5 linked regions of the Coturnix japonica genome follow. The protein of the gene in region 5 purifies or fractionates together with the protein of the main gene of each other region. This does not show direct contact. Links are inferred from orthologs where the notes say so. Each region holds a gene or a part of one and is shown on either strand. Other genes may lie near its edges.

Region 1 (4,324 bases), on a different chromosome or scaffold from region 5:
CGTACCCTGTGGCATTTAACAATGAAGCTCTACCACGTGCTGGTTTTGCTGGTCTGAAATGCTCTTCTTTGCCCCCCCCAGATTGTCATAGATGACGAAACCATTTTAATCCTTGGTGGCTGTGGTGGTCCCAACGCAGTAAGTATTCTGTGGGGAGTGAGGGCATGAACTGTGCTCATCCTGCTGTACTGTGAGCCCTGGGTGCAGGCTGGGGAGCAGGAAGGCTCCTTGCTTTCCCCAGGTGGCCTTTTGTCCTGCAGATCCGAGATGCACATTGTAGACTTTACAGCAAAGCTGTCGTTATAGCAGGAGCTGCCTTTAATTAATAAAAGTCATCCCAGGAGCTATCTGAGCAGTTCACTGATGTTAATTAGAAGCCCTGACTTTACACTGGGACAGCAGATGGGGATGAAGGGACTTGTGCATAGCCACAGCAGGGTGTAGCCACCCCTGGGTGGTCAGATCCCAATGTGTGTCAGTGTCCCTCTGTCTGCAGCTGCACAGCACCATTCCTGCCCCTGTAGGATGATCTTGGCAGCACGCTGGTCTCCTGAATCCCTTGTGCTTTTCTTCACAGCTGTTCAAAGACGCCTGGCTGCTGCACATGCAGGCAAACCCCTGGACATGGCAGCCACTCAAGGTAGAGAATGAGGACCATGGAGCCCCGGAGCTGTGGTGCCATCCTGCCTGCAGGGTGAGTCTGGCTTTGGGACAGATGCATTGGGATCTCTGCTCTCTCACACACACCTGTAGACTTTCCTGCCCAGAATGCTCTCTTCCTTTTTGTCCCAGCAGCCCCCCAGCAGTCCATAACCCATTCCCTCTCCTCTCTTGCAGGTAGGACAGTGCGTCGTGGTCTTCAGCCAGGCTCCCAGCGGCAGAGCCCCGCTGAGCCCCAGCCTGAACTCTCGTCCCTCTCCCATCAGTGCCACACCGCCCGCCCTGGTCCCCGAAACACGCGAGTACCGCTCCCAGTCCCCGGTCAGGACCACAGATGAGGCTCCTTGTGTCAATGGCCGCTGGGGCACCCTCAGGCCCAGAGCCCAGCGCCAGACACCCTCAGGTTCACGGGAGGGCAGCCTCTCCCCAGCCAGAGGTGACAGCTCCCCGGTGCTCAATGGTGGCAGCTTATCGCCCGGGGCTGCGGCGCCTGGCGGTGCCTCCTTGGACAGCCCAGTGCAGCTCATATCGCCCGGCACACCCGGAGCCACTGAAGGATGTGACCTAAAAGTTGGGCTCGCTCTGGCACCGAGGCGAGGATCGCTGCCGGAGCAGAAGGACCTACGGTTGGGCTCCATCGATTTGAGCTGGGAGCAGAAAGCAGCTTCCCTGTGCCAGACGGATGGCGCGGAGGGCAGGACGCTGCGGAACCCCCCCGAGCACACCAACGGCATCCACACACCACCCCACTCTCTGCCGGGAGCCGTGTCCCCCGGAGCGCTCCGCAGGAGCTTGGAGGCCATCAAAGCTCTCTCTTCCAAAGCTCCCCCAGCTTCTGCTGCTCTCAGCCCCCCGCTTGGCTCCTCACCGGGCTCCCCGGGCAGCCAAGGCAGCGGTGCCGACGCACGGCCGGGCTCTGCTCAAGGTGACAGCCACTCGCTGCCGCCCATCGCCCGCCGCCTGGGCCACCACCCCCCGCAGTCCCTCAACGTGGGGAAGCCTTTGTACCAGAGCATGAACTGCAAACCCATGCAGATGTATGTGCTGGACATTAAGGACACCAAGGAAAAAGGACGAGTTAAATGGAAGGTGTTCACTAGCAGCTCGGTGGTGGGGCCACCCGAGACCAGCTTGCACACGGTGGTGCAAGGCAGAGGGGAGCTGATCATATTCGGTGGTCTGATGGACAAGAAACAGAACGTGAAGTACTATCCCAAAACAAATGCCTTGTACTTTGTGCGAGCAAAGAGATAATGTGGCCCGAGCTCATCGCCACCGCTCCCCTCCCCCCGTGGCTCTCCCTCTCCCTCTGAAATCTGTCGTGCAGGCATTCAAACTGTGAATTAGGGAACAACAAACAATGCAGCCCAAGCCAACCTCCAGCACGCCCCGGTGAAGCAAATCGTGTTTACAAGCAGGGGAGCAGCGCCCTGCTGTAGGACCTGTTACTGTGCTCCATGCTGCAGCCCAGGCCAAGGATGTAGGGCGAGTCACGGTGCTTTCCTAGAGCCAACCTTGCAGCAGGAGGCTGTCAGCTCATTGCACTGACCATTCCCGTGCTGGGAGGAAGGAAAACAACAGCAATACCTGAACAAACCTTCAGCACTGCAAGCTGTGACCGTAAGCTTTGCTCGACACAAACACGATGCCTTCTTTTTGCCTCTCACCCCTTTGGCCTGACAGCTTCGTTCCTGTCCTTGTTGCAGGACCGTAAGAAGGAAGAAAGGACAGTTTTGCATTGTAAAGCCAAAAAAATAATCATTGTGAACAGGACGGGCAGGACTTGCTCCCAATGGAAATGCTGAAAGGAACAGGCTGAATGCTGAGCGTTGGTGCACCCGAGCGGCACGGCGTGAGCCTCCACCGCAGGAACAAAACCATCTTTGCATGTGCCTCCTTCCGCAAAGATTAAAACAAAGCAAAAATCCAAATGGATTCAACCCGTGTGTCCGTCTGGGACAAACATCCTTCCTTCCTGCCTCCTTCCTTCCTTCTCTTTCAGCTCGAGGTTGGGGAGGGAAGCTGGGGCTCCATATTACCAACAGCGCCTGCCCTTCCTGAGGATGCTCCCGGCTTCAGCACCTGAAATAGCCAAAAGAAAGTAGGAAATTCAGCCCCAAAACACAGCCCTGTGCACCGGCAGCGCCATGACGTGGTTCCCCATCTCCTCTCCATCCCCACTGAGCTTTGCCGGCTTCACCACCACAACCCCCAACCTTTGGGGATCACAGCCCTCCCCCTATTAAAGTATCGGGGTTCTCTTTGTTTTCTACCTACAATATGAACCTGTTTTGGTCCAACAGGGCTGAGGGGAAGCCCCGTTTGGGATGGGGCTGGGGAGAGGGCAATGCCTCATCTGCAGTTTGTAGATACACCTTCAGTTCAATCCAATCCCAAATCCCCTCTCCTTATGGGGGGACCCCCATGTGACGTCCCATGTTTCTCTCCTGTCTGCATGTCTCAGCCTCCCCTTCAAAGTCAAAACCACGGAGCTGTTGGGAGCTGGGTATGATGTTCTCACCCATCCCCACCAGCTGCCACCCTTTGTGTTCTCCCAACAGCCTCAAATCCCTTTAAACTACCCCAAAATGGCAGCGCCCGGCTGCAGGGCCACACTATGGGAGGGGGTGGGGGGGAGGGGGTTGAGGAGTCCCTTTTTGGTGATATTTAATGAAATCTGTGTACATTTTTGGGTTGGTTTTTTATGTTCTGCTCTTTCTCTTTCTCTCCCTCGAGGAATTTTTAGCCGTTGAACAAATAAAACTTGGAAGAAGTGGCTGAATGTTGAGTCTGTGTATGGGGAAAAATGGGGCTGTGTGGTGGCAATGCTTCCCAATAGGAGTGTCCATTGGGCCTCCATCACCTATAGGGCAGCCTATAACACTGGGAGGTTTTAAGACATAAGGATCAAGGTCCCCTATACCCTATATAGGTTTGGGGTAAGCTATAACATATGGGGCTGTTTGCTTGTAATATAGAGATTTGGGGGTTCCATAGGGGCTCATATAGGGGAGCTATAAGGCTATGGGAGGTCTTAAACACATAAGGATCAAGGTCCCCTATACCCTATATAGGTTTGGGGTAAGCTATAACATATGGGGCTTTTTGCTTGTAATATAGAGGTTTGGGGGCTCATATAGGGTAGCTATAGGGCTAACACTGGGAGGTCTTAAGACATAAGGATCAAGGTCCCCTGCCCCTATAGCTTACCCCTACCCCATATGTTTGGGGTAAGCTATAACATATGGGGCTTTTTGCTTGTAATATAGAGGTTTGGGGGCTCATATAGGGTAGCTATAGGGCTAACACTGGGAGGTCTTAAGACATAAGGATCAAGATCCCCTACCCCATATGTTTGGGATAAGCTATAGTATATGGGGCTTTTTGCTTGTAGTATAGAGGTTTGGGGGTTCAATAGGGGCTCATATAGGGTAGCTATAAGGCTACGGGAGGTCTTAAGACATAAGGATCAAGGTCCCCTATACCCTATATAGGTTTGGGGTAAGCTATAGCATATGGGGCTTTGAGCTCGTAATATAGAGGTCTGGGGGTTTACATAGGGCTATAGGGGCTCATATAGGGCTAGGTATCCTTAGTATAGCTCTGGGGTCCTCTATGGCTCTGTGGTCCTCCATAGCTTTGGGGTCCCCTATAGGGAGCTCTA
Region 2 (4,737 bases), about 3.2 Mb from region 5:
TTGCAGCAACATTAAAAATCAACAAAGAGATTAAAGGTGTGAAGAGAATACAGCTGCTGCCAGCATCCTTTGTTTGCTTTCAGGAACCAGGTATGCGTGAGCTATAATACTGATAACAGTCAACTAGGAAGTAGGCAAGTGATGCAATAGTGGGTAGGAATAGTAAGTGGAGGACTAAATAGGAAAAAAATAGCAAGAAAGAATAAAAATACAACCACTGTTTAGATGGGTTATTGCTTTATGGTAAAAGGAATTCAGAGTATAGCCATTTACTTGTATTTTGCTGCTAAAGTAATTCAAATTTCTTTGATTAACTGAATAAAGAAAGGATTTTGCAAAGACTGACTCATGCTTTGTCCCAAATGCCTGTTATTTCTGAGGTTCTAAATGTCAGTGTAAATTTCTGAGGCAGCAATGCTGGATTAGACCCTCTTTTTTTCTCCCTGCTGGCTCAGGACTTTAGAGGCTGGTGATACCTACACTCTTACTGTGACAACGTAACTGTTATCTGTGTTATAAAATAGATGCCAACCACATAACTCTCTCCAGAATGACAAAATCAGAGAAGTACTAAGGTGGGGGAGGAGAAGGACAGATGGATGTGGATCCTTTGTCAGCAGAAGACTGACTAGCCTTTTGTTTTACAAGGCATTAATGAACCTCTTTGTTGCCAGTTGAGGATGACTTGGTGTCCTACACTGTGTCTCTCAGATCTCCAGTCACTGATGTAAGAAGCTAGTCAAAAGGCTCTAGAGGAATAACTGAGCACTGACGTGTCCAAGATAATGGTAGAGTCTTCTGGCTCCTCTTTCCTAGGATAACAGAATGGAAAAGCACTCTTATCTGAAAAATGAATGTAACAGACATTTACAGCATAGGTGTGTGCCATCTGAGCTTTGAAATCTGATCAAAGAAGGTCTGACAGCTTGAGAGCCAGTTGGTTTTTGGAGAACTCATGTATTTCTCATAATGGTGCTTTTTAAAGCCATTGGGTAGCCTAGCCTTACCATGGAAGTAGGCTGGAGTTTCTCAAAAAATTGCTATTCCATACACACTATCCACATACACACACTAGCTGCAGACCTGGGCCCACCAAGATGACAAACAGATCACGGTTTTGTTTATAAGAAAGCCATGGTTTTTCTGCTCTTGCATAATCATTGCATTATAACCTCTTGAAATTAAGCTTTTTATCTCTCTGATTTGATAGAAAAGGTTGCGGGTGTTTACAAAGACCTTCAGAAATTATCTCGTCTCTTTAAAGACCAGCTGGTTTATTCTCTTCTGGCTGCTGCCCGACAAGGTGAGAGAGATGATACTTAATTTTTGCAGATGGAAGAAAGGGAGGGAGTGTATGCAGAGTCTTGAGGGAGAAGTGTTAGAAACAGTTCAGACAGCTGCTCAGTGGTGGGTATGTGGAGAGTAAGAAAAAAATGGACACTCTAAAGAAATTAGATTAATCTTTGTATTTTAAAAGAAGTCAATATAATGATAATTTCCCATCAAAAGTCAGAGGGCACCAAATCCAAACTGTATGATGGGTGTGGTAGGACAGTGCAGCCAAGACAGGCAATGTACTCCACTGTCTTTAAACTGGTATGGGGCCTGACATAACCATGATGCAAAAGAGTGGTTGTCTTTGCTGTCCTGACTCTGCAAGTTGGAGCCTTCAGCTTAGTTAGCATTGTGATGTAGCAGTCAGCATTGATGGTTTGTCCATGTCTTAGGAAATCCAGGAGGATCATCCCTTTCCTCACTTTGCCCACTGAGGGCTGCACCTTGAACTTTTTTTTAATGTGAAATTCATGTATCACTGCTCTGTGTACTGCTGTTTTGACTCTGTCTCATAGTGCTGACACCACATCTCATGATTGAGAATGGAACAGGAGGCTGTCACTGTCAGTGTGGTATTGTTGCAATGGGTCCTCACAGACTTGTATAAATTGTTTTTTTCTGTTCCTATGTGAGCCTTGGTGGGGCCCACCTGACACAAACGTCTCAATATTCTAGTGTTGCCACCATCTTTTCTAACTTCTTGAAGGTGACACTCAGCTCTGTACATTGGTCCCTGGAAGTAATCCACTGATTCACATGGATGAGCTGATAAAGACACTCTTCGTTTCATTATGTGACAGCTGTGTGTGGCCATGCAGAACATGGCTCTTCTTTCACATCACAGCTGTTGCCTCACTGTACTCACACCTAATATTTTGTCTCCATAAACATTCGGCAAATGTTGATAAATGTCAGTGGGTGCAATTTTTTTTCTGCATGGAAGAACTCAGTACCAGACTTTTGCTTCATCCACACTTCTGTGTCAGACACCATTTTGTCAGACCGCCCCTCTGCTGCCATCTGTTGGAAAGCAACAGCATGTAACAGCATATTGGTGGGAAAGCTCAGCCAGTAGAACCGGTTCAACAGAAAGTTCAACAGTAGAACTGCAGGCATGTCCAACCCACATGCTGCATGCAGCCTGGCATAGCTCATACTGCAGCCACCCCCTACTCTACATCATCATGGCAGGCTCTTCCTGTTATGTTTGCGGCCCGGCCCAGCCGTGGGCATGCACTCATCTCTCAGTAACAGCCAAACATCAGGGTGTGCTTGACACTAAGCTGAAACCAAGACACAGGGGGCACGGTGCAGTGCTAATTGAAGTTATGGCAAATGATTATAAGCATTTTGGTGCTAAACTGTCCTGTGAACAATGACATATTTGCAGTTTTCTGTTTTGATAAAGGAGTCTGAGATTCATCAAATTTTTTCATGTTTGCCATTCTCCTGTTTTCAGTTGACACAAATACGTTACCTGTGAATTTTCACATGGAACGTGTAAAATTGCAACCAGATATTGATTGTGTCTCTTTACTAGACTTTTCTAAGACCTATCAGCAGTAGGAAATCAGGCTTTCTGTGTATAGATACTGCTGTAAAAGAGTTCAGCTTAGTATTCTGAAGACACAGTGGAATCCGTAGACTTCAGTGCGGGCAAGTTTTATGTGAAACATATGCTGTGCATTTGATATGTTTTTTTTATGGACTCTTGTAATCAGGCAGACCTTTTTCCTTTGGCCTTTGTTCTGTAGCCTGCACACATAAGCATGCGGCATGTTTCTTAGGTTAACAGCAGTCACTGGTGTTCAGTGTAAAGTACCATTTGGCCTATTTCATGAACTCATAAACATACTGCAAGGTGGAAGAGATCAGTATTCTAAGAAACCGTGTCCTGGTGCTTTTGGAGACCCGTTGTTTAACTGAGGCATCAAAAGGGAATGATCTAAGGGAAAGGTTATGATGTCTTTCTTTTCTTCAGGGTCATCAGCTTTGCACCATTTAGTTAATTCTTCTGTGTCCTCCACTTCGTAGCTCTGAACTTGCCAGATGTCTTTGGGTTAGTGGTCCTTCCTCTTGAGCTGAAGCTTCGGATTTTTAGACTTCTGGATGTCCGTTCCCTCATCTCTCTGTCTGCTGTTTGCCGTGATCTTTATGCAGCTTCAAATGATCAGCTTCTGTGGAGGTTTATGTATCTGCGAGATTTCAGAGGTAACGGTGATACACATTTTCTTCAATTTCATTCTCGTGTGAACAGGGGTAATTAGGTCTTACGTTTTGATAAGAGGTTGCTCAGGTAAGCAGTCTTGATTTTTAAATAGTGGCATCAAATAGAGTCATTAGTGATAGTGACCAGTACAGTGGACTAGATGTAATTCAGGTGGGTATTCTGTTTTCTGTCATGAAAAATAGTAATAGTTATCTGAGCCATTTCTCATGGACCATATAGTTCTGCCCATCATGTGGTAGAACTTTGGTTGTTTTCATCTGTTTCTCTTGCTACTTAGATACACTTGTTATTGCAGCTATCTGAGAGTGAAGAGAAGGGATATTCCTGCTAGAATTCCTCACAAGAGACTGAAGAAAAAGGTGGTAAAGGGAAGTGCTATTATAAATCAAAGATGGGAATAATATTCCTGGGATTTCCTAGGAGTTTCGGAGATGGTATTTTATATAGAATATGAGTAGATTATATACTGAATGGTCCTACAGCTTTATATTTTTTTTAAACACATTATGTATTGACCAGAGATGTTTTTTTCATCTCCTGCATGTTCCCACAAATCCTTGGCATAAATGCTACTTAAAAGAGGTTGCTCATTTTGATTCTGTGCTTCTCTTGTAGATCCCATTGCAAGGCCTCGTGACACTGACTGGAAAGAAGTAGGTGGCTTCTCTATATAATCTCACTGAGATTAGTCTACATGGGAGAAATTCAGGGCAAACACAGAGACTTTGGGAAGCTGTAGTTTTGAGTTAAATTTTAATTTAAAAGTGTTCTGTAAACACGAGTTGAGTTTGGTTGGAGTAGGGGAAGATGAACATCAACAAGAGACTTGGTGAACCTTAAAATACCTTTGTTTCTGTCTGCAGCTATACAAGAAAAAGTTGAAACAGAAGAAGGAGGCCTTGAGATGGAGGCACATGTTTCTGCCCCCTACACCTCATCCAATTCCCTTTCATCCCAACCCATTTTATCCTAGTCCCTTTCCTCCCAACCCATTCCCATCAAACCCAATCTATCCCCCCATGGTCATTGGAGAATATGTTGAGAGACCAACGCTTCTGTATATTGGAGACCCAATTAATTCACTCATTCCTGGCCCAGGAGAAGCACCATGCCAGTTTCCTCCATTCAGACCACATTTTGACCCCATTGGTTCCTTGCCTGGAGCAAACCCT
Region 3 (4,737 bases), on a different chromosome or scaffold from region 5:
TGCGGGTGCTGCTGGCGATGTCCCGGCCTCCCTCCCTCCTGCAGCGTGGGGTGGCTGTGAGGACGTGAGTGAGGTCGGCTGCCTGGCCGAGGTGCAGCGCGTGGTGGATGCGATCCTGCGTGGTGACTGCGAGGCAGAGCTGCGCGTGGCCGGGCTGCGGCATGTGGTGAAGGTGCTGGAGGAGGCCCCAGAGCAGGAGCAGCGCAGCAGCAAGGCCCAGGGTGGGCCAGAGACCAGGTGTGGGGCTGAGTGGTGTGAGAGGAGTGGCTCTTGCGTCTCTGTGCCCCACGTGGGCTGACATGGGGCAATCTGAGCTCAGTGTGGCCACGTGGGCAGGTGAAGGTGCCGTTCCTGAGCTGCCCTCGGCCTCGCAGGGAGAAGCTGGTGAAGGCGCTGGTGGAGCTGCTGGGCGTCGAGGAAGCCAAGTTGTACCCGGCAGCGCTGGCGCTGCGGCTGGTGGCCCTGCTGATGGAGAGCTGTGCCTGGAGTGTGCCCTTCGGCACTGAGGGAGGTGTGCGAGCGGTGCTGGCCTGCATGCAGCAGCACGCGGCCTCTGCCCTGGTGCAGCAGGCCGGCCTGGCGGTGAGTGCGTGTGGGAGCTTGGGGGTTGGCGGGGCCCGCTTTGGATCCCACCATCCCCTGAGCCTCTGCGGGCTACGCAGGCCCTGAAGGTGCTGGTGGGAGCTGGAGGTGGCAGCCGGAAGGCTTCGCTGCTGAGCCACGCCGACGCACAGATGATGCGGGAGATCTTTGCCAGCATCGGCTCTGCCTGCGGCGAGGGCTCACCCGGCCTGCTGGGTGCCATCCCCGCTGCCATCCGTGCCATGCAGGCCGTGCCAGGGTAGGGATGGAGCTGTGTGGGTCCTGGGGAGCTCTGCACCTGGGGAGGAAGGTGCCCACACGGCTGCATAACCGCAGGGGCTCCTCGGGCGTGCAGAAAGGCGGGCCCATGCTGGTGGTGAGGATGCTGGTGGATGGGCACCGGGTCCTGGCAGAGCAGCTGGTGGGCTGTGATCTCCCTGTGGTACTGCAGAGCTGCTGGCAGGCTGGACGGGACTCCGGTTGCCCCAACGCCATGCTGGCCCTCAGCGTCATCAACCACCTGGCAGAGCACCAGCTGCCCTATGGCCCTGAGATGCCAGGTACTGTGCGGGTGGCCCTCTGTGCCACAGCCTCGCAGGTAGGGGCTGAGGATCTCGTCCTTCACTGCCTGTCTCGCAGGTGCTGAGGCCCTGCTGACGGAGGTGAGGGAGACACGGGCTCCTGCAGGCAGCTTGTGGGACGGCGTGCTGCCCGAGGACGTGGTGGTGGCCCTGGAACGGCAGCTCTGCGGCGTGGCCGCCATTCCTGCCAGTGAGGCATCCCGGCAGCTGCAGGAGCACCGATGCTTCCGTCCACTGCTGCGCAGCCTCGAGCTGCCAGGGGCAGAGAAGGCCGTGGGGCTGCGAATCTTCAGGTGGGGCTTGGTCAGAGCGTGGGGGCTCGGGGCGCGGCTGCCTTATGGCCCAGGCTGAGCGGCTCCATCTGTCGTGCAGGATCCTGAGTGTGTTCCTGGACGGTTATCAGGAGGACGCGCTGCCCTGGCATGAGTGTGTGGAGCCGTGCCTGTCCTTCCTGAGCGCCCACAGCAGCGACCGCGAGGTGAGAGGGCCTTGGTGCTCCTGGGGGCAGGGAGGGCTGTGCTGCGTGCCACCGGCTGAGGGCCATGTCCCCGCAGGTGGTGCAGGAGGCGGTGGGCTTCTTGCACCGCCTGGCTACTGCCAGCAAAGACTGCACCGTGGGGATGTGCAGTGCAGGCGCCCGTGAGGCTGTGGCCAAAGCCCTGGACAAGCACAGCCCGGCCCTGCCGCTGGCACCATCCCTGCTGGAGCTGGTGAGCGACTGTGAGAGGCACGCCGCGCTCTACAGGAAGCTGACGGGCAGCATCTTGGCAGGCTGCATCCAGGTGGGCTGGGTGTCTGAACTACCCTGCCTGGGGACTTGGGGAGAAGGATGAGGCCCCCACTGACTGCGTGGGTCCGTCCCCATCCCCAGGTGGTGCTGGGGCAGATTGAGGAGCACCGCCGCAGCCAGCGGCCCATCAGCATCCCTTTCTTTGACGTCTTTCTGCGCAACCTGTGCCGAGGTGAGTGCAGGAGTGCGAGCCGGGCAACGTGTCCCAGCAGCAGCTGGAGGCTGTGTGTGCTCTCCCTGCAGGCCCCAGCGTGGACGTTAAGGAGGACAAGTGCTGGGAAAAGGTGCAGGTCTCCTCCAACCCGCACCGCGCCAGCAAGCTGACGGACAGGAACCCCAAGACCTACTGGGAGTCAAACGGCAGCACCGGCTCGCACTACATCACCATCCACATGCAGTGCGGGGTGGTGGTCCGGTAGGGCTGTGCGGGGAGGAGATGGCTGCGGGGCTCCACGCACGCTGTCCCTGTGGCCCCATGCTGGGGTTGCTGGATGTGGATGGGAGCTGCAGGGCAGTGCCGTGTTTGCCATGCAGGGAGTTGAGCATGCTGGTGGCCAGCGAGGACTCGAGCTACATGCCAGCCCGCGTGGTGGTGCTTGGGGGAGACAGCCCCGCCGACGTCCGGACGGAGCTGAACGCAGTGAGTTGCACCAGTGCTGCTGGGCTGTGGGGCAATCCCGGCCATGGCTGCACCGGGGCTGACCGGGCACGTGTGGGTGTCTGCTCTCACTGCCCACACTGAGAGCTCCCATCTGCCTGCAGGTGACCGTCTTGCCCTCAGCCAGCAGGGTGGTGCTGCTGGAGAACATGACGCGCTTCTGGCCCATCATCCAGATCCGGGTGAAGCGGTGCCAGCAGGTGGGAGCTGTGGCCAGCCCGGGCCATGGCAGCGGACATTGGGGATGGACACAGAGCTCAGGGTTGCACTTTCCTGCAGGGGGGCATCGACACGCGCGTGCGTGGCATTGAAGTGCTGGGGCCCAAGCCCACCTTCTGGCCCATCTTCAAGGAGCAGCTGTGCCGGCGCACGTTCCTCTTCTGTAGTGCTCGAGCACACGCCTGGTGCCAGGAGATCCACCAGGATCGGGGGCAGCTGCTGCAGCTCTTTGGCAAGTGAGTGGCGTGTGGGCTGTGCCATCTGTCCCTGGGGTCCCGAGGCAGCAGGGGTGCTGCTGTCAGCCCAAGAGGGAAAGGGGGCAGAGGCTGAGTCCTGCCCTGGGAGGAGTGGGGCTGCAGCAGTGTCCTTCCTGGTGAGGGGCAGGGCCAGGAGTGATGCCTGTTGCCCCCTGACTGGCCAGGTGGTTCCATGTGCAGTTGGTGGATGCTTGCTGCCATACCGTGCTGCCCACTTACTGTTGCAGGTTGAACGGGGCATTACAGCACGAGCAAGACTTCACTGACCGCTTCCTTCCTGATGACGAGGTGGCCCGAGCCCTGGGCAGGACGTGTTGGGAGGCCCTGGTGACCCCCGTGGTGCAGAGCATCACCAGCCCAGGTACCACTGTCATCCTGGGCCCTCCCTGTGGTGCCCGAGGCCCCCCTTGAGTCTCTGCATCCCGTCAGACCCCAGCGGCATCAGCCCTCTGGCCTGGCTGCTGGGTGAGTACCTGGGGAGCACAGAGCCGCCCCGCAGCGACGCTTTCGGTTCCTGTGTGCGGCGCCTGACCCAGCTCCTGGTGCACGTGGACCCGGGTGGTGTGGAACCAGAGGAGGAGGGAGCTGTGGGTGAGTGCAGGGCTGCCTTCCTGCGGGGCCAGGCGAGGGGCAACATGAGGGGCTGAGCTTCGGCTGTGCCTTGGCAGGTGGGAAGGAGGGCAGGAAGAAGGAGACACCAGCCCGGGTGGCGGTGGCAGTGAAGTCTGGAGGCCTGTGGGACATGGTGCGGTGCTGGCGTGGCGTGGTGCAGCAGCAGGTAGGGTGCGGGGCGGTCAGTGCCAGCGGGGCCCACTGCCGTCCCACTGCAGGCTGAACTCTGGGCTGTGCCCGCAGGTGCAGCGGTTCCTGGAGGTGTCGGGGCAGGCACTGAACATGGTGGAGCAGTACTGTGCGCTGTACCGGTGCCTGCGCGGTGCCACAGAGGAGCTCTTTGGGCAGCAGGCCGCCTTTGTGGCAGCTCTGGGCCAGGGCTTTGCTGGGGCTCTGCTGCAGCTCTCCTTCCTGACCTCCCTGCACGTGAGTCCAGCGGCCCAGCATGGCCCTTGTGGATGCCCAGCTGTGGGAACACAGCCCTGCTGTGCTCCCTGCCCGGGCCGGGTCACATCTCCCCTTCTGATGCCCCGGGGCTCCTGCCCGTGCCCTGACCCCTGCGGCCGCCCCGTCCCACACCACTGTGCCATTCCTCTGCAGGTGAGCGAGCGGTTTGCCCGCTACCTGGACAGGAAGGTGCAGGAGCTGCACGGGGCCGTGGGCAGCACAGGGCAGCTGCAGCAGATCCTGGAGCCCTTCGTGGTCTTCGGCGGCCTGGAGTTCGCCCACACCTTCGAGCACTTCTACCGGTGAGCGCTGCCCCTGCCGTGCCCTGGGGAGGGAAGGGCTCATGGGCCCGGGGCTCCGTGGCTCTGCGGGGCCCGTCCCGGTGGTGGCAGGGCCGTTGTCCACGGGGCCGAGGTGGCCCTGACGTGCGGCTGTGTCAGGCTGTACCTGGGGGACCGGCTGCTGGCACAGGGGCCGTCCTGGCTGGAAGGGGCCGTGGTGGAGCAGATGGGGCTGTGCTTCCCCCGCCGCTTCCCCCAGGAGATGCTGAGCGACCTGGTGGAGTCCGAGGAGCTGCGGCGGCACTTCCGC
Region 4 (4,737 bases), about 14 Mb from region 5:
ACTGTGCCAAAATCCAAAAATCTCATTATATAAATGATGAGGGAAAAACAAAGCAAACAACACGATAAAACAAACCAAAAACCAGCACCACTTTATGCTACCTCCATCCTTCATCACGCTAATGCTTGTCTGCAACAACATAATCATCAGCAGTCAGAAAAACCCTCAGTATTCTAATTTCACTGTTTATAATAGACACAAGTTGCTGAAGTAGCAGCTAGATTTCTGAGAAACAAAAGAAATGGCAAAGAAGCAGCATTTTTAATAATGAACTGATCATTTTACTCTTCAATTTGTAGTTTAAGAAGAAGTAACGCATCTGCTGACTGCAATTTACAAACTGTAACTCAGGAAATGCTGCAGCAGTAGATGTGGATTACAAGAATCATTCTTCATATACAAATTCATTTGTAATTCTGTAAAGCAATACAAGATAATTAGCAAACAGAAGTTCCTATTTAAAAGAATACCTTAGTTGTACATGTAGCGCGCAAAGGTTCAACAAGCCTATCCAATCTCTGCAGCACTGCGCTTGGACAAAGGGTAGACAGTCTCACCAGCATTAAAAAGGTTAGCATCTGGTTGGAGAGAAAACCAAAAATCAGTCATGCGGAGCACAGAGTTATTTCCTAGAGTACTCTGCAACCGTTAACCGTAATGCTTAAATATTTCATTATTTAAAATATCATTAAAGCACGTGAAGTATCATTGCTACCATCTCAGTCTACTCACTATTCAAAACATTTACTGCTTGCTTACGTAGTAAAATGACAGCTAACCTTAATGTCATAGTGATCCTTCAAGCCATCTTCAACATGGTTTAGGAATTCAAATATATCTAGTCTATCCAAACAGCTATCCAGAAGAGTATACATGCACTCAAAGGCAGCTTTCCTAATGTCCAACCCATCATCAACTGTGTGCTTAAATGGTCCCATTTCCACCTGTCAGCAAACAAAAAAACAAAGTTAAAAAGTAATATATTTAGGCAAACAGAGTCTACTTATGTTAATCTGGTCACATTTTGCTCAGTTAACGTACCTCTCTGATTAATTCCTTTCTGACTTTTGTTTCATTGTAAAGATGAGGAAGCACAGTATCTAAGAGGTCCCTTATTAATGATGGTTTGTTGTGTGCAGCTGAGTTAAATGTCACTAGGGCTACCCTCCTGACATTGAGATCTGGGTCCTCCAATGTTTTCAAAAAATCACCTGCAATTGAATAGAGAAATACATCAACAAATTCCTAATGGACCAGAAGATAAGCCTACTCAGCATGTATTAATGTAACAAGGCCTGTCTCCATACGTTTTCACATTAGCTCCTTTGTAGCTTTGTAGCACTGCTTTGATAAAACAAAGGCCTGCAGGAACAAGTATTTTCACCCCCCTCCTGCCCCCACAGTATTTAGCAACTTCCAAGAGTGCTGAATGTTTAAAGAGGGGAAAAACAGGATGTAAAAAAAGGCGGCTTCTACACCCACAAAAAAAAAAAAGGTAACAAGACTAACAAGAAGAGAATTTTGAAGTAGTAGATCCCAATAGCTCATTTACTGTTTTCAATACCCAGAAAGTATTTCCAGAAATCGAAAGGGTAAAGCACCTTCAGTGGGAGGAAGACAGCAGGAGGAGAAGCCCCCACGCATAATCATTCAACTCATTAATGTATTAATAAAAAAAATATTAAAGATTAGCAATGAAAATAAGGTAAGAACTGACACTGCCTCAACCATAAACAAACAACCTGCTCCCCACAAAACTGTTTCTAAAGATGAATCTTTTTACCTCTTATTAGATTTAGTGGCATATGCTCCTTTCTAAAGATTTTAGGGTCATCAATCCACTACAAAGCTAAGAGTCACCACAGCATATTAAAGAAATCTACAACAATGTCATACAAATGAGAAAAGCTCAGAAAGCCACAGAATTGCAAAGCTCTATCATACTGAAAGCCCTGATTACCTTACCCACAAACAATAGCTTCCAATAATTTTCAGACCAGAAAGCATTACAGAATTGCAAGGGCCTAGATTTACAACCCACCATCTGACAATACTCAGAATTAACACGTGTATATATATTTTAAGACCAAGTATTTCCAAGACCACCTTTCTGGGTAAAGAAGGAACCTTACTAATTCAACCTGACATAATTTACAAAGATCCTGGAAGAAGAAATCATCTCTTAGGTACCATCTTTCCTTGTCCTTGCTCCTTGCATGCTTTGTCCATTGCAGATGCATTATATGCAACTTTTATCACATATCTTGTACCACTCTGAATTCAAATGAGCTAGAGTTAACAAAAATAATTGGCTCCTAAGGAAAGCACTTCAAACACTTTCAACAGTTAACATAAGCAGTTATTTCTAGTTCCACCTACAAAATAATCTTCCTCCGAAGACACACAGAATACGCTTTAAATGCAATTCCATTGCTTGAAAACTTAGAATTTGTCACTAGAAGTAAAGAACTTACCTATGCAGTTCTTCAAGAGCGGGTCTATGGGTTGTGGATGATCAGAAATAGTGAACTTCACAGCAGTCACCACAGAACTTCGAGCATACGAGGATCCTAATGTGAAATAAAATTGTGAGTACGTAACAGTTAAAACAGCACAACTACAGAATTTAAACCACACTTAAACCCATTCTTTCCGAGCTTCTAATAGTCTTACACAAGCTGAAGAGCAAATGCTACTTATTATTGGTAACACAGCATTGTCTCTGTAGATGTACTGGTGTTACATTTTAAACGCTGAAACACAGTATTTGAAATAAATCTTTTCTGCACCAGAAAACTGAAGTAATGAGGCTACTTGCACACTCTTCTAATTTCTCTCATGCAAGCCTTTAAACAATTCTCCTCTTTAAAGCAGAAGGACATGAAGAAAACACACTGATGCAGTTCTTAATACGACTATAACTCAGTATCAGTTTCATCCTTTCCAACCTTACAAACTTCAGAATTCTTACTGGAGAATTAGGAATATATTAAATGTTAATGCTCTGCAACAAATCTATCAAGCAGTACTGTCCTTTGCTGCCCACGCTCTTCCCTTTAAGTTTATAGTTTTGTTAAATGTAACATTATTAAATTAAATATCATACTCTGAAAGCAGAACATAAAAGTAATTCATGCTCTGCACCACTTAACTTTCTCTTGCCCAAATGGAACTAAACTTCATATTGTTCTTGGCAGAGGGTTTTGGGGGGCAAGCAGACTTCAGGAATATTACAGAACTTAAGGAAATTGCTAAAAAAACCCACAACAATATATTAAGATAATACAAGGCCATTTTCTACAATTTAAGCATACAACTCACCTGATGCCAAGTATCCCTTGAGTCGTGGAAGCAGAGTCTCTGGGTCTATTAAAGTAAGCTTGCCCAAGCATTCAGCAACAACATTCCTTGTACCCTCTTCTGCACATTCGCAGTGTTTCAGGAGTAAGGCCCAGATGTTCTCAACATATGGTTTGAGACCAATCACTGATGCAGAGCTAATTATTTCTTTCAAGGAATGAAGAAGAAGGTATTGCCTCTTAGGCTGGCTGGTTATTTCTTGTAAGACAAAAGGCAGATACTCAGGAAGATTGCCAACACTAATACTGCCTAATGCGTAAGATGCTGCTGATTTGACTTCTTCACTAGGAGAAGAGAATGCTTCTAATATTACAGACTTCAGCTCAATTTGTCCACTTAGGTCAATGTGATGCCCAACTTCCCCAAGTGAAAGCAAAGCCAAAAGCCGAATGGAATCCGTGGACCTTGAGTTCTTGACATCTTGAATGAACTGACCTACTACAGCTGGTCCCTCCTTAGGGCACGCTCGAGTAAGGGCAGCCACACATTTGGCAATGGAATAATAAGACTGCTTGTGAGTAAGTGCTGTGCTCTGAGAGTACACTGGACCCGTTAACATGCGCAGTAAATCCATATAGCCTAAATTATTTGTACCAGTCACAACCAAAGCTTGGAAAAATTCTAGCATGGCACTAAGTGCTCCGCCCTGAAGTAGAGGCGATCTCACCAGCCCAATAAGTTCATTGAGAATGGACCCGCTAATCTTTGACAAGGAGGAAGGATATACTTTAGCAAGTGTTGTCAGAAAACTGATGGCCATCTGTGATACGTGCATATCACTTTCACTAATAAGAGGTGGAAGCTCATCCAGGACAGCATCAATCATGGCAGCTGTCAAGCTGTCACTGTAATTCTTAATTAAAATATCTAGAGCTGAAAGAGTGCCCAGTTTCAAAGCCCGTTGGTTCTTTCTCAAAAAAGAAGCAAGAATAGGAACTCCTTCCCCCAGGATTGGTCTCAAATCTATCTTCAAAGGAGAACCAGCAATCAGTGTCATGGCCTTCACTGTCGTTAACCGAGTGATTTCATTCTTCAGTCTCTCTAGGAAGATCTGAAGTGTACTAGGCAGGTCTGTGCCCAAGCTGTCACCAAGGCTACAAATGATTTGACCCATGCAAGATATTGCCCTTTCTTTCACCTCCTGATCAATGTCAGCAGCCTTTAATCTCTTGATTGTACAAGTAAAGAGATCTTTGATGTAAGGAGTAGCATCAAAGGAAGAAGGCTGGTCTAAAGGACGAATGACTTTCACTAGTTGTTGAGTAACCAAAAGTGCCTCTGAGGTAATCTTGTAAAATGGATCTCCAACACAAGCTACAACTGGAGGCACCAGGGCTTGAACATGAGGATGAAAGACTTGGGGAGAATGATTGCAGA
Region 5 (5,341 bases):
TCTGCCATCTCTCCATGCTCTTAGCTCAGGTTAAAGCCTTCAAGCTCTCCCTCTTTCCCATGTCTTTTCCTTGGAGCACTGAGGGGCTCCCCATCCCCATTTTTTAAATCAGCCCAACATCCTCACTGTCATACACTGGGACTCTTCTGTCCCAGTCATATTTCCCTGTCACAGCTGATGGCTGGGCACAATGAGGGGCTGAGATGTCCTCTGCAGAGACAGAGTTATTTGTTGAGCCTAGAACCATGCTTCCCGTTGCTCTTTTTCATGCATGAGGAAAGGCTGTTTGCAGTAGGTTGGGCACAGTCATTAAGTACCATGGTTTTTGCAAGCACCTGGTAACCTGCATGTTGGTTTTGAGTCATGACGGTTGGTTGTTATTTTATCTTCAAGTTATCAAGCAGCTTGAGGTGCAATACCATGAGAAAGAAAGAGCAGCAATTAGTCACCATCCCATGAAATGCTGCAACTCGTTCCTCTCTCTGAATCTCATCTGTTCATCTTAGTCAGATTATGGGGAGCGGGAGGCTTCATTTCTCACCTGAGGTTTTAGTAACAGATTGAAAAAACAATGGCACTACATGGGAATATAATGTGACCATCATCTAGAAAACACACAGAGGCAGAGGGATTGGGTTCATGCAGAAACCAACCATGATCTGGGCCAAAAAACTATGGGATATATTGCTTAATCTACCCCTCTGGCTCTGTTCTTAGAATTCAAATTTTCTCTGAGCACTCCAGATCAGCTGGGGATGCTACAGAGTATTGAAGTTCCATGATATTCATGAACTCTGAGAAGTTTTGTGGCAATGTGGAAAGACGGTAAATGAGGTACCATTTGTGATGCTGTCTGTCTGGACACTCACAACAGCAAAGGCAAACTTAGCCAAATCAATTACTTTTAGTGGCATCAGCAATGGAGGGCAGCCAGCCAGCCCTACAGTTCTTTAAGGAGTTATAAAATGCACTTCATTTTTATAACCTCTGTACAATAAAGTATTGCTCTAAAAAGTGTTTCGGAGCACATGAATTCCTGCTTTCTTTCAGAACATTTTCATTCCTGAGTGCATCCTGAGCGCCCCAGAGACATCCCACACCACTGGGGTAGCACTGAGGCTGATATGGTACAAAGGATATGCAGCTCAGCTCAGCCCACCTGAGGGGCTGGGAAGGGAGCAAGGGCTGAAGAGCAAGGCAACCTCCTCCCTTAAAAAGGCTCTGCCGGGGACGGAGGGGTGTGTGTGGGGGGGGGGGGGGGGGGGTAAGGGCAGGCCCTGGCGGAAGCCCCGCCTACACCTTCCGCTCACACCTCCCTGCGGCCCCTTCCGCCGCGCATGCGCACAGAGCGGAACGGCCTATTCACGCATCCAAAATGGCGGCTGCGATGGATGTGGACACCCCCAGCGGCACCAACAGCGGCGCCGGCAAGAAGCGCTTCGAAGTGAAGAAAGTGAGACCTGCTGGCGTGGCGCGCTCTACCCGGCCGGTCCCAGCGGGAGGAGGGAGGTCGGGAGCGGCCAGGTGGCCGCGAGCGGGTCGGGGCGCTGAGCCGCTTTCCGCGCCCCCTCACGGAGCCGGGCGTTGCTTCCGCACCGGCACCGCCGTATGAGGGGAGGGGGGGGCGGTGCTTGCGGAGTCTATTGGCGTGTGTCGGGGCCAATGGGTGAGACGGGTCTCCGCGCGTGGAACGGAGGTTGGCCAATCAGAGGGCGCGACCACGCGGGGAGGAGGAGGGAGAGAGGCGAGGCGGGGCTAGTTCTGGCTGGGCCCCGCCGCCCAGAGCCGAGGGTAATGCCGGGCTTAGGGGCGAGTCGGTGCGCTGCTGTTGCCTCCTCAGTCCCGGCTGCTTTGGCTCAGTTGTCTTAGTGGCCCTACGTGATGTGAAGGGAGCTTTGCACGCATTTGTGTGGCTGCTTCTTTTTGTATTCTTCACAAATCAACTCGTAGGTGACCAACAAATGCTGTCTTGTCATCCCGGTTTGCTTTGCTTCCCCCAAACAACCATAATATCCCTCTTTGGCCTAACAACCATAATATCCCTCTTTGACCTACCCTCTCCAGTGTGGCTGCGAGCTGAATGGTGGTGAAAGATCCCAAGTTCACTTCAACGAGGCCCGGAGGTGGTTAGGAGCACTTTGTGGGAGCACTTTTGATATTGTATATTTTTTGCAATGAAAATGATTCAGGAGTCGCTGAGGGGCAAAGTTAGAGGTGATTCTGGTTGTTGGCCCCAGCTGCTCTGAGGGATGATTACTGGGAAAACAGCTACAAACAAGAGAAGTTCCAAACTGAGGATGTGGCGTGAGATGCATTCTTGCCTCCAGATTATGAATTGAAATGCAGATGTTTGCATTTGTATGGCAAAAAAAAGAGAGTGGGACTAGTATCAATTGTTTCTGAGACTGGAAGGAGGCACTGAGTGTGAGAGGTATCTGAGAAAGAATTACTCTGGTGCTGTAAGGTGTGTGTCTTTTAATATCCTAACCTTATCATTTCAGAAAGAAAGAGGATCTTGAGGAATAATGAGGATTTCCATGTGTTATATGTTGAATAAAATTTATGTTTCTCTTTTTTCCCCCCTCACTCTAGTGGAATGCAGTAGCTCTGTGGGCGTGGGACATTGTGGTTGATAACTGTGCCATCTGCAGAAACCATATTATGGATCTATGTAAGTAAATGATGGGGAAGCGTGCTTACAGTTTTGACATGTACAAGATTCACAGTTGAAATTTCCACTGCTCAGGGTGCATTTCAGCAAATCTGGTTTTCAGTTCAGAATGAAGTCTTTCGGTAACACTATAAACTCTGTTCTATGTAGTGCTCAAGTTCTGCTTTCTGTGTCTGACTGACCAGAAAAGATTCAGGCCACTGAATTTTTGACTCCTCATTCTGCCAAAGCTACTTTGCCTAAATTAGGGTTATAGTGTGGGGAATTCTGTGGCCAGCTAGAGAATCCGTTTGTTATCTATGAAGAGAATAATCTAATGCCTAAACCAACACCAAGCATTGCTAGTACTAATTCACCTTTTTTTTCCCCCCTGTATGGTCCCAACAGTCCTGTTAACAAATACACTTACTATTTAGGAAAACAAAGTGGTAGTAGGAGTAAGTATAAAAAATTCTACTGTGAAATAGGTATCCATATATAAAGTCACCGGCTTTGGTCTAATTGAGGATTGGCAATAAGAACAGAGCCATTTTTTTTTCCCCTCAAATCTTTGGCAATATATGGTTGGCACCGTAACTGTCCATGTTCTTTCAATGATAAGATACAGAACACCTTTTAACATCCCCCAGATAGGAAGTCACCTGTACTACTAAAATGGGAGGATTGTGGTACCTCAAAAAGCAAGACCTTCAGTACCTGACAAGGGCTAGTCATGATTTCTTTGTGGTCGCTTTGTTTCACTTTCTTCTTAGTAGCCCTTGCAAGTACAGCTGATGGTAACTTACTGTTAGTGAGCCAATGTGATAATATAAAAGAGCAGGGGAAAAGAAAAAGAGGCTGTGCAGTGTACCATGCAGGGCTGAAAGGGGATTAAGCAAGCTGACTTCTTTGCTTTGAGTCAGATGTGTTCTATTTTGAGCCAGCTGCTGCCTGTCCATCGCTCACTTTATTCTTGATCATTAGAAGAGGAATGGTAGCACTAAAGGCAAGCAGGTGAGAGGAGTGGTTGTGACATGTGCTGAGGACCTCTGACATAGTGCTTTACAGTTAAGAATTGAGGTTGGGTGGAATTGAAAGAATATAGACGTGTTAGGAAGAACTTCAAAGGAAGAGAGCACAGGTAACTTAGTTTTTGTTTTGTTTTGCTTTTTGAGTTGCTCAAGCATAACACCTTATTAGTTAGGGCATAATCAATGCTATCAAAAGCCCAAACTGCAAATGATGGACCAAAATTGACAGTATACAGAGTAGAAGCGGTATCTAAATTGGTGTTCTGAGTTCAGCCTTGGCTCTGGATTTACTTACTTCCTTGTTAACGATCATTAATGATGTTAAGCAACATCTTAATTAGATTTTCAAACCGAAGATGTGAAGTGATGGGAAATAGAGAAAAAATTACTAGATTGTGCAGGGAAGAACAACACAAGATTCAGTTTGATAAAGTGCAGGGCAGGAATGTCTCCCTCTCCCACTGATGAGGAGAAACCTTAAAAGGGAAAACATTACAATGGTGATAAGTAACACCAGCCACGCTAATGGAAGATTGTTAACATTATGAAGTCGAGCATCCAAAAGTTAGGATATAACAATGTTAAGGTTTCGTGCAGTCTTGCTAATGCACATACATTACGACTTGGCTGCTAATACTAAGGACAAAGGATTCCCCTGGCCCTCACTATGGCTCATGTTCGGCACATAGAAGGGATGAGTAGATTTTCAGTGGTTTTTGTTCATTTCTGAAAGGGCCCAGAATGTATTTAGATTTTCTTTGTGCAACATCCTTGATTTCTTTCAAGGTTTATTCCCTGCTGCAATGGTTGCAATGGGGCAAGTTTGGGGAATGTTGAGAAACACCATGATCATATAGTGGGTTGTCCTCTAAGTGGAATGTAGTACTGCAAGGTGACTGGTGTGCTTTGAACTGTGTGAAATGTGGCATCAAAATAGTGGACTCTCTCTGATAGAAGATGGAAAGTATCAATGTGATATTCTGGTGTCACAGAGATGGACAAATTGATTAGAATCCAAAGAAAAAAATCTCACAGTGATTTGCAGGTTGGTTTATTTTGGCTTTTTGGGAAGAGCAGAACTAAATATATGAGGTTTGCTAAGGCATGTATATATAGTTTGCTAAGTCATAACTAGGAGTGGACAATGATAGCTGTGCACAAATATTTTGAGAGTGATACTCAGATACTCAGCATCATATGAAGGGGTTATAAGTAGAAGGAGTCATGTGACAGTGAGATGGAGGAACCTGGGGGGAATATTCAAATACTTCTTCAACTGAGAAAATTGCATGGAAAAAGTTCTGAAAGCCCTCTGAAGTTTGACAAACCAAGAGCTCATTCTGCATTGTGGATGTAATAAATGCACTTTAGGTTTCCTAGCCTGGTTATTTGTTTTTTCTGTCTCTGGCATAATACAGTATATGTTGTTAGCTACGGTATGTACATCTTGTTCTGTTCTCCCCAATAACTCAATATCTTCAGGGTGTAGCTGCAGAAAGCACTGTTTAAAGAGAAGGGGGAATCCCTCAGTGGTTACCTTTACTTAAGCAGAAGCCATTTTGAAGAGCTGGGTCATAAAATTCACTGGTGCAGTGGGCTGTGACTTCAGCTGTATCTCCCCATGTTGAAATGCTTCCATTGCCTCGTTCACATTTATTTA

The links.
Region 1: the proteins of RBX1 (region 5) and FBXO42 purify together in Homo sapiens (affinity purification with mass spectrometry; 4 studies listed by BioGRID and IntAct, with this or other methods). This does not show direct contact. The link is inferred for Coturnix japonica from reciprocal best matches to the Homo sapiens genes RBX1 and FBXO42.
Region 2: the proteins of RBX1 (region 5) and FBXO7 purify together in Homo sapiens (affinity purification with mass spectrometry; 5 studies listed by BioGRID and IntAct, with this or other methods). This does not show direct contact. The link is inferred for Coturnix japonica from reciprocal best matches to the Homo sapiens genes RBX1 and FBXO7.
Region 3: the proteins of RBX1 (region 5) and cullin-9-like purify together in Homo sapiens (affinity purification with mass spectrometry; 5 studies listed by BioGRID and IntAct, with this or other methods). This does not show direct contact. The link is inferred for Coturnix japonica from reciprocal best matches to the Homo sapiens genes RBX1 and CUL9.
Region 4: the proteins of RBX1 (region 5) and CAND1 purify together in Homo sapiens (affinity purification with western blotting; 6 studies listed by BioGRID and IntAct, with this or other methods). This does not show direct contact. The link is inferred for Coturnix japonica from reciprocal best matches to the Homo sapiens genes RBX1 and CAND1.

Annotation. Positions count from the first base shown.
Region 1 is NC_029536.1:3,750,676-3,754,999, reverse strand, and holds the end of FBXO42 (F-box only protein 42), read left to right. Parts: intron 1-81; coding exon 82-138; intron 139-577; coding exon 578-694; intron 695-837; coding exon 838-1,914; 3' UTR 1,915-3,438; downstream 3,439-4,324. UniProt on the Homo sapiens protein: Substrate-recognition component of some SCF (SKP1-CUL1-F-box protein)-type E3 ubiquitin ligase complex. Specifically recognizes p53/TP53, promoting its ubiquitination and degradation.
Region 2 is NC_029516.1:48,678,892-48,683,628, reverse strand, and holds part of FBXO7 (F-box only protein 7), read left to right. Parts: intron 1-6; coding exon 7-90; intron 91-1,210; coding exon 1,211-1,303; intron 1,304-3,369; coding exon 3,370-3,546; intron 3,547-4,180; coding exon 4,181-4,218; intron 4,219-4,428; coding exon 4,429-4,737. UniProt on the Homo sapiens protein: Substrate recognition component of a SCF (SKP1-CUL1-F-box protein) E3 ubiquitin-protein ligase complex which mediates the ubiquitination and subsequent proteasomal degradation of target proteins and plays a role in several biological processes such as cell cycle, cell proliferation, or maintenance of chromosome stability.
Region 3 is NC_029518.1:3,471,735-3,476,471, reverse strand, and holds part of cullin-9-like, read left to right. Parts: intron 1-44; coding exon 45-237; intron 238-374; coding exon 375-582; intron 583-662; coding exon 663-841; intron 842-918; coding exon 919-1,142; intron 1,143-1,221; coding exon 1,222-1,456; intron 1,457-1,535; coding exon 1,536-1,641; intron 1,642-1,717; coding exon 1,718-1,945; intron 1,946-2,034; coding exon 2,035-2,125; intron 2,126-2,196; coding exon 2,197-2,368; intron 2,369-2,487; coding exon 2,488-2,593; intron 2,594-2,715; coding exon 2,716-2,811; intron 2,812-2,890; coding exon 2,891-3,066; intron 3,067-3,314; coding exon 3,315-3,448; intron 3,449-3,516; coding exon 3,517-3,678; intron 3,679-3,755; coding exon 3,756-3,865; intron 3,866-3,942; coding exon 3,943-4,125; intron 4,126-4,299; coding exon 4,300-4,448; intron 4,449-4,586; coding exon 4,587-4,737. UniProt on the Homo sapiens protein: Core component of a Cul9-RING ubiquitin-protein ligase complex composed of CUL9 and RBX1. The CUL9-RBX1 complex mediates ubiquitination and subsequent degradation of BIRC5 and is required to maintain microtubule dynamics and genome integrity.
Region 4 is NC_029516.1:31,602,744-31,607,480, reverse strand, and holds part of CAND1 (cullin-associated NEDD8-dissociated protein 1), read right to left. Parts: coding exon 3,322-4,737; intron 2,571-3,321; coding exon 2,475-2,570; intron 1,212-2,474; coding exon 1,042-1,211; intron 945-1,041; coding exon 780-944; intron 579-779; coding exon 471-578; intron 1-470. UniProt on the Homo sapiens protein: Key assembly factor of SCF (SKP1-CUL1-F-box protein) E3 ubiquitin ligase complexes that promotes the exchange of the substrate-recognition F-box subunit in SCF complexes, thereby playing a key role in the cellular repertoire of SCF complexes.
Region 5 is NC_029516.1:45,481,704-45,487,044, reverse strand, and holds the start of RBX1 (E3 ubiquitin-protein ligase RBX1), read left to right. Parts: upstream 1-1,647; 5' UTR 1,648-1,662; coding exon 1,663-1,791; intron 1,792-2,592; coding exon 2,593-2,671; intron 2,672-5,341. UniProt on the Homo sapiens protein: E3 ubiquitin ligase component of multiple cullin-RING-based E3 ubiquitin-protein ligase (CRLs) complexes which mediate the ubiquitination and subsequent proteasomal degradation of target proteins, including proteins involved in cell cycle progression, signal transduction, transcription and transcription-coupled nucleotide excision repair.